2 linked regions of the Macaca fascicularis genome follow. The protein of the gene in region 2 interacts with the protein of the main gene of each other region in a pairwise test. Links are inferred from orthologs where the notes say so. Each region holds a gene or a part of one and is shown on either strand. Other genes may lie near its edges.

What was found.
Region 1: the proteins of AQP2 (region 2) and ERG28 interact in binary tests that used the Homo sapiens proteins (3 or more experiments, as listed by UniProt). The link is inferred for Macaca fascicularis from reciprocal best matches to the Homo sapiens genes AQP2 and ERG28.

What each region holds. Positions count from the first base shown.
Region 1 is NC_088381.1:143,623,015-143,627,883, reverse strand, and holds the start of ERG28 (ergosterol biosynthetic protein 28 homolog), read left to right. Parts: upstream 1-1,641; 5' UTR 1,642-1,743; intron 1,744-4,869.
Region 2 is NC_088385.1:56,778,334-56,783,223, reverse strand, and holds the start of AQP2 (aquaporin-2), read right to left. Parts: upstream 3,028-4,890; 5' UTR 2,933-3,027; coding exon 2,573-2,932; intron 1-2,572. UniProt on the Homo sapiens protein: Forms a water-specific channel that provides the plasma membranes of renal collecting duct with high permeability to water, thereby permitting water to move in the direction of an osmotic gradient. Plays an essential role in renal water homeostasis.

The DNA.
Region 1 (4,869 bases), on a different chromosome or scaffold from region 2:
CCAACATGGAGAAACCCCATCTTTACTAAAAAAAAAAAAAAAAAATTAGCCAGGTGTGTTGGCTCATTCCTGTAATCCCAGATACTCGGGAGGCTTAGGCAGGAGAATCGCTTGAACCCGGGAGGCGGAGGTTGCAGTAAGCCAAGATCGCGCCATTGCACTCCAGCCTGGGCAACAAGAGCAAAAACTCCGTCTCAAAAAAAAAAAAAAAAAACCTTGAAAATATTTATTTAGACTCTATGACAAGCACTCTGACAAGATGCCATCATGTTTCCCGTAAAATAAATTCAACAATGAACCGAAAGATGAATATATTCTCTTGAATCAAAGGTCCATATAAATGGTTGGGGGGGAGGGGGGAATGCCCTTCCACTCTTAAAAATTATTCTTCCTTACTAAAAATCACAAACTTTGATATGACTCTCAAATAGACAATAAAATTGGAAAATTTCCAACACTGCATTTCTAACTTAAAATATTTTTTCCAAAGTAAAAAAGTACATGGTCGTTTTGTGTGTCAGAAGAAGAAATAGGAACTACAAATAAAGAAAAGGAATATGTTTAAATGACCATAATCCCATTACTCAGCGATAATTACTTGCTGTCAATCCTTCTTAACTTTTCCATACATTCATAAATACGATGAGACTGTAAATCAGACAAAAAACAAAAAAACCGACCCCGATAATGATCTTCGGCGCAATGGGCAATGTCTAACGACTTCAATGGCTTTCTTCAGGGGATTCTCAAGGGGGATTTCTTGATCTTTCCCAAAATGTTGGAAAGTCCTTTAAGTTTAAACAAAACCTCTAAACGGGAAGGGATGCCAACCTTTCCTAGGCTGCCTGCAGAGCGGGGAGAAACAGGTCGATCGGAAGATTAAAGACATTCGCCTAAGAACACTCCTCGCCCTAAAGGAATCTGCTTCTCAGCCCCAACCCCAGCTCACCCCAATTCCACGGAGGTCCGCAGATGCTCCCCCCTGAAAGGACAGGACCACTCGGCTGCCGCGAATCAACGCGGCGCGCCCGGAAGCCAACAGCTACTCCCCGGCTCTGAGCGGGAAGTGCGGCGGCCAGCTGCAGCCTGGACCCGGGAACGCTCCTCCCTAGGGTAGGGATGCGCGCTGGCGCAGGCTTTTACCTGTCTCATCTTCCCATGGTTCGGGGCGAGTAGGCGTGGACCGCGCTCTGCGCCTACCTCCCTCTTCCTTCCCCAGCAAGGCTCAGGGCAGCCGCCGACGGCGCTTCCCCGGTTACTACAACAACCAACAAGCAACCGCCCGCTGGGAGCCACTGCGCAGGCGCTGATAACGCTCAGCTGCGGACGCGGGCGAATGTCGTCACCGCCGCGCAGCGCGGGCGCAGAGCCCTGGCCTCGGCAGAAAGTCTTTTTTTTTTTTTCCGCTGTTTTTTTCTCCGCCCCTAAGAGGTTGACTCCAAACCCGGAGTTCCGCTAGGTCCAACAGGAGGGTTTACGGCGTGAGCGGCGTACCTGGGGAGAGGCTTAGGCAGCGGCAACCGCTGATTGGCAGTAAAGGGGTTCACTCCCCATCTCCTGCTCGGGCAAAACCAGGACAGCCAATCAGAGAGAGGACTAAAGGAAAGGACCCAATCCTGGAGCAGGGCTGAGGGAGGGGGTGGGGACAAATGGCTCAGGTGGACTCCGGGCTGGAGCTGTCCTGGGGGAGCTTGTTTGCGGCGGCTGCTGCTGCCACTGCTGTGCTGGGGGTCCGGTCGCCAGGTAAGGAGAATATGGGGGAGAAGAGGGATGTAGGTGTCTGTGTTGCTTCTGATTGAGAGGATCGGAGAATCTGGAAAAATAGAGGTGAGATGGAAGGAAGATACCTGGAAGGCAACCTTTTGGGGGGAAAAGGGTTCGAGAGGCGATGACAAGGGGGAGCTAGGAAGATGGAGAAGGCTGGTGAATTCAAGGAAAGAAGGAATGGATGAGCGAATGAGCAGCCACTATAAGCCTAGCACTGTACAAACAGCCTTCACTTTTTCTCATATGATTCTTACAATAACCCTTCGGGTTGATATTTCTATCTCCATTTTGCAGATGAGGAAACCGAGACTGAAAAGTGTAAATGACTTGCCCAGGGTCACACAGCTACTAAGTGGTAGGGCCAAGATAAGAATCCCTCTCTCCTGATTAAGTTTTAACAGCACACCTATGCTGGGCTGGGCTGGGTTGGGCTTGGCTGGGCTGGGCCAGGGCCAGGACAAAATTTGGAAATAGATGTTATAAACACTCTAGGAGGCCCTAAAGCTTTAGGGAAATTAGGTTGAGAAATTGGCAGAGCAATTCAGAAGTACTCAGGTTCTGTCCTCATCAGCTATCTGTTGGGATTCCTAAGAGCTTCTGTGAAATGGAAGGCGTACTTGTGCAGAAAAGTGGAGAGGTGCATTCATGCAGCTTTTCTAAACCCCGGAGGAGTCTCCTCTTGAGAGAGGGTGAGAAAATAAAGAGGATAGGTGGATCTTGGCCCAAGTGATAATGGCCTATGATATCCAGTAGACTCTCAGTCTCTGACAGAGACCACCTTTGTGATCAGCTCTCCCTGAAGGGTTCATCAATTCACCCTTCCTTCTCTAGATCTCTTTATTGCTTTTTTTTTGGGGGGGGGGGGAGGGTGTTTCACACTGTCTTGGACCATTGCTGACTTTAATATCTATCTCACTGGGTAGCATAGAACAATACCGAAATTTATATTGCCAAAGTGACAAAGAAAGCCTGTTAGTTTATTACCACTTCAGGCCCAAGAGGTTAACCTGACAACAGATAAACCATAGACTGAGAAAATAGTGATGAGGATGGGAAAAAGCCATTCCATTATTAGATTATTTATCTATTTTGGTTTTATTTAAATCAGACTAACTGAAATTACTACTCAACAAGAGTTGATCTAAGCCTTAAAAAAATAAAAGTCTGGGTGCTGTAGCTCACACCTGTAATCCCAGCACTTTGGGAGGCGAGGCCAAGGTGAGTGGATCACTTGAGCCCAAGTGGAGAGGTTGAGGTGGGAAGATCACTTAAGCCTTTGATTTCGAGGCTGCAATGAGCCATGACCACGCCACTGCACTCCAGCCTGTGTGACAGAGCAAGACCCTGTCTCAAAATAATAATAATAATAATAAATTAAAAAATAAAAAGTATGTAATCTAATTGTATTTTCTATACAACTTGAAGACAGAAGAGGATATGGTATGCTTTTCTTAATCAAAAAATGGGAACTTCATTAAAGTAGTCTCAAACAGTGAGGTAGCACTGCAGCAGTCCAACAGACCATGATTCTTATCTCGGCTCTGCTGACTTTGCTGTGTGACCTTAAGAAACTTGTTTAACCTCTCCGTTCCAACCCTCATCTGTAAGATGGAAATATTAATAGTGCCTGCCTACCTCATTGTGAAGATTAAATGGTAATATGTGTTAGGTGCTTGGCACAGTTCATGGTGTAAGTGAACTGTGACCTATTATTATCTTGCAGCCCAACACCAAGATTGCTGTTTCCTTCACTATATAATTTTCTTACTAGTCCTAAAGTCACACGTTAACTTAAACAGGCACAATTTATAAATTTGGAAAAAGAAAAGAGGCTTTATCTCTTGCAAAGGGTTACAGCCACCCAACAGGGAAGAGTGCCTCCCACTAAGATCAGAGACAGGTGCTTTGAAGGAGAAGGGTTTGGGGTAGAGCTTTATGCTGAACAGGTTGGCTAAACATACATGTTCAACAGCTTACAGGAGGAACTATGAATATTCCTGAAGGTGGTCCTGACACGTGCATATTGAACAATCATGTGTAACCACATATGACCCCTGTTCACTTTGGAGTAGAGACCTAACATTTAAGTCTATCACGCCTAGGCTCTATGCGTCAAAAAGTCTTTTCAGGACACCAAGACACTCAAGTGTGTGATCTTGCTAAACTGGCCAGGAGCAGTCCACGGTTGGTGGTCTTATCTGGAGAAAGTTACTAAAATCAGTCTCTTGTCCAATCAAAGGTGTAGTTATAGCTGGTGGAATAGGGGTCATGTAGTCAGCCTCTGTGAGCTGGATGAGCTGTAATTGTTTTAATATTGCTTATCTCAAGCCAGTGCTTGTCTAGCTGCTGGAGAAAAAAAACCTTGTGGCAGAATATAAGTTTTATTCTTTAAATGTGGGAGTGTGTGACTTAACCCTTGCCTGGCATGGCCTTAGGTCTTGTTTATAATTTGGTACCTTATTGCACAAAGAATCTGTTCTGTCATTCTTATGATCTCTATTTTAACTTTAATGCTGGTAAGTTGCTGTCTCTAAACCTGAAAAAGGAAGGGATATAGCAGGGCATGTGAGACCTCCCATCTCGTCATGGCCAGGGGCTCAGTTTTAGGATTTTTCTGGGTTCCCCTAGGCCAAGAGGGCCTCTGTTCAGTCCGTGGTGGGCTTAGGATTTTATTTTGAGTTAACACACAGCAGTTTATTTTTAACTTTTAGATTGTTCTTCTAGTTTATGGAGCATGGTATACCTGAGAACCAGAGTCCAGAAAACCTAGGGATGTAAATAGTGACCTCACACCGTAAGTCCCACTCAAATGTATAAAGTTCCATAGGCTTGGAAGAATCTGTCATCAATAGCCTGGCAGGTGTCTGTGAGTATAGTTATAATCACCTTTGAGCTACTTGCATTACAAAGGAATGGCATGAAAACGTGAAGGTATAGAAGTAAAGATAGAGGACTGATTCCAACCCAGAAAAAGGAGCTCTGATTTAGGGTAATATTTTGCAGAAATTGCTTAGACAAAGACAAGTATTATGCCACTTATTGCAAAGTATACTGTTCATTCACCACTATTAGTGTGACTAAATATCTTTTTTTGGCCTGCTT
Region 2 (4,890 bases):
ATCAGACCCTGGTGCAATGAGAGGCCCGTGGTCTGTCTTCCTGAGGTCAAATGGCTCCCAGGGACAGGACTTGGGTCTAGGGGATGGTCCTAGTGTGCCCCTTTCTGCTATGAGTCCGCCATACACCTTTTTCCTTAACTCTTGTCTATTCTCCACTGCCTTTCAGGCCTCAGCTTTGCCCTGTTGGTTTGCTCCCTGCACATCCTATGGAGGTTGGGGTGAGGGCCCCGGAGCTGTGTCGGACAATGCCTCCACACCCATGTAGGTTGCCCATGGTCTCAGCAGACCCTGCCTTGGGTAAGGAGAGAACTCGGGGCTGAGTAAAGAGGTGATTTCATAACTGGGCCACACCCAGCACTGGATTTCTCCTTGGGTTTTGTCACCCTGTGCCCTACGCCCTGCCTTCTGGGACTGGGCACCATGCTGGGTGGAACAGTGACAGCTCTCAGCTCCCACGCTCTTTCTCCAGGCCCTGAACCCCCACCCCTGGGTCCGAGACATCAGGTCAGAACCCTTGGGTCTCTCTAGGGTCTAACCTCAATCCCTCCTGTTGTTGTCCAATGCAGAGTCTCTAGAGGACAGTGAAAAGAGCTTTGGAAGCAGACACTTTAGAGGCCTCTGACTTGCCATGAGACTATTTAATTTGGCCTCAGTTTCTCCTTCTGCGAAATGGGATAACAAAATGGATTCTGGAGGATGGTGGGGGGACTGGAAATGACTTATTGGTTCTGTGACTTGGATCAATTCACTATTGAGCCTCAATTTGCCACTCACAATAGGGGGGAACCACAGAATTTCCCTTATAGCATTGTACCAATGATGAGATGATAGCTGGCCTGGCACAGGGCAGGTGCATGTCAATGATTAAATTCCTGGTGGCCAGGCTAGCTCTTAGTGTCCTCAAAGGACACATGGGATGGTCTTGAGGATCATCTGGCTCTCTTTAGCCTCAGGGCAAGTTGGTCCCACCACTGCCCCATTACATCCAGGCAGGGTTCTCCCCAGGTCCTCAAGGTAGTAAATGCTGAGAAGTGGCATGGAGGAGTCCTCCCAGACCTTTCTCTTCTGAGGGCCCCAGTCAGTTGTGAAATGATGGAGGAGGAGGACTGCATGTTTCCCATGGCCTCTCACTCCCAGTGCCCTGCTATTACAGAAGAACTTCCTGGTCATGCTCTCAGGAAGTTCCTTTTTCAGTCTAACTGGACCTCTTCTTGCTGTAAACTGAACTAATTTTGTTCTCAGAGGAAAAGAGCCCACTCCTCTGCTTGCCCACCTAGCCTGTCCTTGGCCCCTGGCCCCCAACCTTGTCACAATTTCATCTTTAAAGAACAGAGCCTTGGTGTGGTGGCTCATACCTGTAATCCTAGCACTTTGGGAGGTGGAGACGGGTGGATCACTTGAGGTTAGGAGTTCGAAACCAGCCTTACCAACATGGTGAACCCTGTCTCTACTAAAAATACAAAAATTAGCTGGGTATGGTGGCACATGCCTGTAATCCCAGCTACTCGGGAGGCTGAGGCAAGCGAATGACTTGAGGTGGAGGTTGCAGTGAGCTGAGATTGTACCATTGTACTCCAGCCTGGGCAACAGAATGAGACTCCATCTCAAAAACAAAACAAAACAGAGAAGTTCCCTAACTGGGATACCCCTGTCCCACAAATGAGGAAGGGCTACCTGTGCAGAGACGCGGGTGGCCACAGAGATTGTGCAGGACTTGTCAGAGACATCAGGACTCTTGTCCAGTGGCCCAGGGATGGAACAGGCCAGGAAATACTGGAGACTGAGGCACAAAAGAGGCACTTGCTGTCCTGGCTTAGGATGGGGGTACAGAGTGAGAGTTGGTCTGTTGGGAGCACAGGTCGTTCCTCCACACTCATGTCTCTTGGATTCACAGGGCCCACACAGACCTGAGAGGGGAAGGGGGTGGGACATGGGGGAAGGGACTGTGGCACCACCCTCAGCTCCCGAAGGGCCCACGGGGCCCAGTTAGCACCTGTATCATGTAATCAGCAGCCAGCTTATGGGCTCCGGGGACCTCGTCAGGGTTTGGAGAAGGAAGTATGCCCATTGCTGCTTGTAGGGCTATGGTGTGTCTGAGCCTGACCTGTAAGGAGCACCTGCCATAGGGCCTGCAAACCCTCAAAGCAGAAGAAAGGCTGGGCCCCTCTTCTCTCTTGAGGACCCTGTCATGAGCACTCCAAGGCTCCCCACAGCTTGGAAAGCATGTCTGCTTGGGACACTAACCCCTGCTGAGTTACAGCCTGGTCCTCACTATAACGGAGGCATTGAGTCCAACAGAAACCCAGATGAGGCTTTTCCTGCACGACGGTCAGGGTGGAAGAAGCCTGCAGTCTGTCTGCATCCTGCCTTTGCTCTGGTACCATTGCTCCTTTCATCCTGACCCTCCTATGGTGGCTATGTTCCTGACTCCAGGCTCTGTCTCTCTCTGTCTGTCTGCCTCTGTCTCCATCTCTCTCCCCACCTCACCCAGAGCCCATCCCTCCCATCTCATCCCTTACAAGGGATTCCCCAGGATCTGCCCCTTGTGGATGGCAAAGTTGTGGCTACTTACAGCATTGACAGCCAGGTCCCCGCGGATGTCTGCTGGCGTGATCTCATGGAGCAGAGCGGCTCCGGCCACAGCCCCCAGCAGCTGGGCAGCCACGTAGAAGGTGGCTCGGAGAAAGGAGACATGGCAGCCCACCAGGCAGGCCACAGTCACGGCTGGATTGATGTGGGCCCCGCTTATGTGGCCCAGAGCCTGTACCAGGGTGCCAATACCCAAGCCAAATGCCATGGCGATCTGTAGCACAGAGGGCAGGGCCTGTGGCCAGTTGAGGGCCGAGCCGAGGCCAAAGAAGACGAAGAGGAGTGTGGCCAGGAACTCTGCAAACACAGCCCTGGAGAAGGCTATGGAGCGGAGCTCCCACATGCTGCGGAGTCCTGCGTGGCTGGCCCGGCCGTCTCAGGGCCAGGAGGCTCTGGGCACTCTCTTTCGCTCTCTACCGCTCTCTTTCTCAAGGCCTCTGGGGAGGCTGGGTTGTGGGCATTTATAGGGTACTTCCATCCTGGATCTGGGCACGTGGTGGGGAGGTGGAGTCGTTGAGGCCAATACCTCTTCTCCATGGCGGCCTCTGCCCCCATGCCCCATCCCAGCCCACCCACGTGCCTATCACCCTATCTTAGCCTTCACAGCTGACTGATGTTCCCCATTTAATGAGCTCCAGATAAGGACTGACGTCCCTGGTTTTCCGTGTTTGTTCCCTTGGTTACCCCAGGGCTGCTGCCCCAGGGCCTCTCCCAGCCCCCACGGGGTCTTGTGAATGGGAACCTCTGGTGGGGATTGTGCCCAGTGCCCCTCTCTCTGACTCGAACTGTTGACCAAGGCAGGGGCAATACCTCACACAAAACTAAGAGTGTGTGAGTGCTGCTCCTTCTGGTAACTGGGAAGTTCTTCTGTCAGACCTCCAATTACTCCTGCTTCACAGGGATGGAAAACAACTGGTTGGCTTGTGACAGATTTCCAGGGCATAAAGGTTTGTGTCTTCTGCGTTTGCATTCTTGCAGCTAATCACCCATAAATCATTAAGCTTCACCTTCTCCTGGGAGCCCCAGCCAAATAGCAGCTCCTAGAGCCTGGGGGCACTGGGACCCTGGCCCTCGGTGATGGAGTCAACCTGGGCGCGGCTGAGGAAGCTGAGGGTGTCCATTCTGGCATCAGCCTGTTCCATCTATGTGACTTAACCTTTCTTGTCTTTCTCTGTAAAATGGGAAGAATAAAACTGACCTAGTGGATTGGGGTTTGGATTGAATGAAACAATGTATGTCAAGTGCTCAGAGCAGCGCCTGGTCCACAGTAGGTGGTCAATGAATATCAGCCCTTCCTTACAGTATTATTTACACTTTGAGGAGAACAGGTCTTTGCACACTCATGTGTTGGGGTCCCAGAAGCTGTGACAGGTCCTAGGAACCCCGAGGAGCTTAGGGCCACTCTGGCCACAGGAGAAAGACATTTCTGTGGGGCAGTGAGCTGTGCAGGCTCGGGGCGGCTATGATGGCTGATAAGCAGCTCTCTGGCCTTGGTGCCCACTCAGCCCAGCATCTGGGCAGTGCTGCCTCCTGCTATCAATGCCGCTGTGGCTACTGGGGTCCTGGAAGTGTTCAACTCTAGAAGTTTCCCCAGCCCCACTCACTGGCCCTTCCCTAATCCCTCCAGCCTCGCTCCCCCTCCTGGGGATTCACAGCAGGGTTGGGCTCAGAGTGGGGGCAGAAGGATGGGCTTCTGCACCCTGCCCTAGCTCCTGTCCAGCAGGTCCCTGGGCAAGTCACAGTCCCAGCAACAGAAATCTGGGAGAGATTGGAGACTGGAGTGGACCGCTTTATGTTGTATCATGGGGATGTGGGATGAGTGTAGGCCCGGGGAGGGGAGTGACTCATCTAGGGTGCTCCAGCAGGTTAGTGGCTGAGCTGGGACTGAGCCTGGTCTGGAGCTTTCTGCCACACCCCACACTACCGAGCCACACTCTGTGCCTCAGTTGCCTTGTCTGTACAATGGGAGTGTAGATGCCTACCCCATAAAGTTGTTTTGAGAATGCAGTAAGATAATGAACGGGAAAGTATTTTGCAACTGAGAATGTATCATACACATATATATGGGGACTCATGACTCCTGCTATTGTGAAGGAGGAGGAGGAGAAAGGCGAAGAGGAAGGGGAGGAAGAAAGAATAAAAATTACCCATACAGAAGGGATGCTCCAAAAGAGCAGGGATTCCTGTGGGGTTTGTTCTCCAGTGTATTTCCAGTGCCTAGCGCCTGGCCTGACACATAGACACCTGGCACCCTAGCACTTTTCCCTCAGCCATCCCTCCCAACTTCAGGCATTCTGGGTC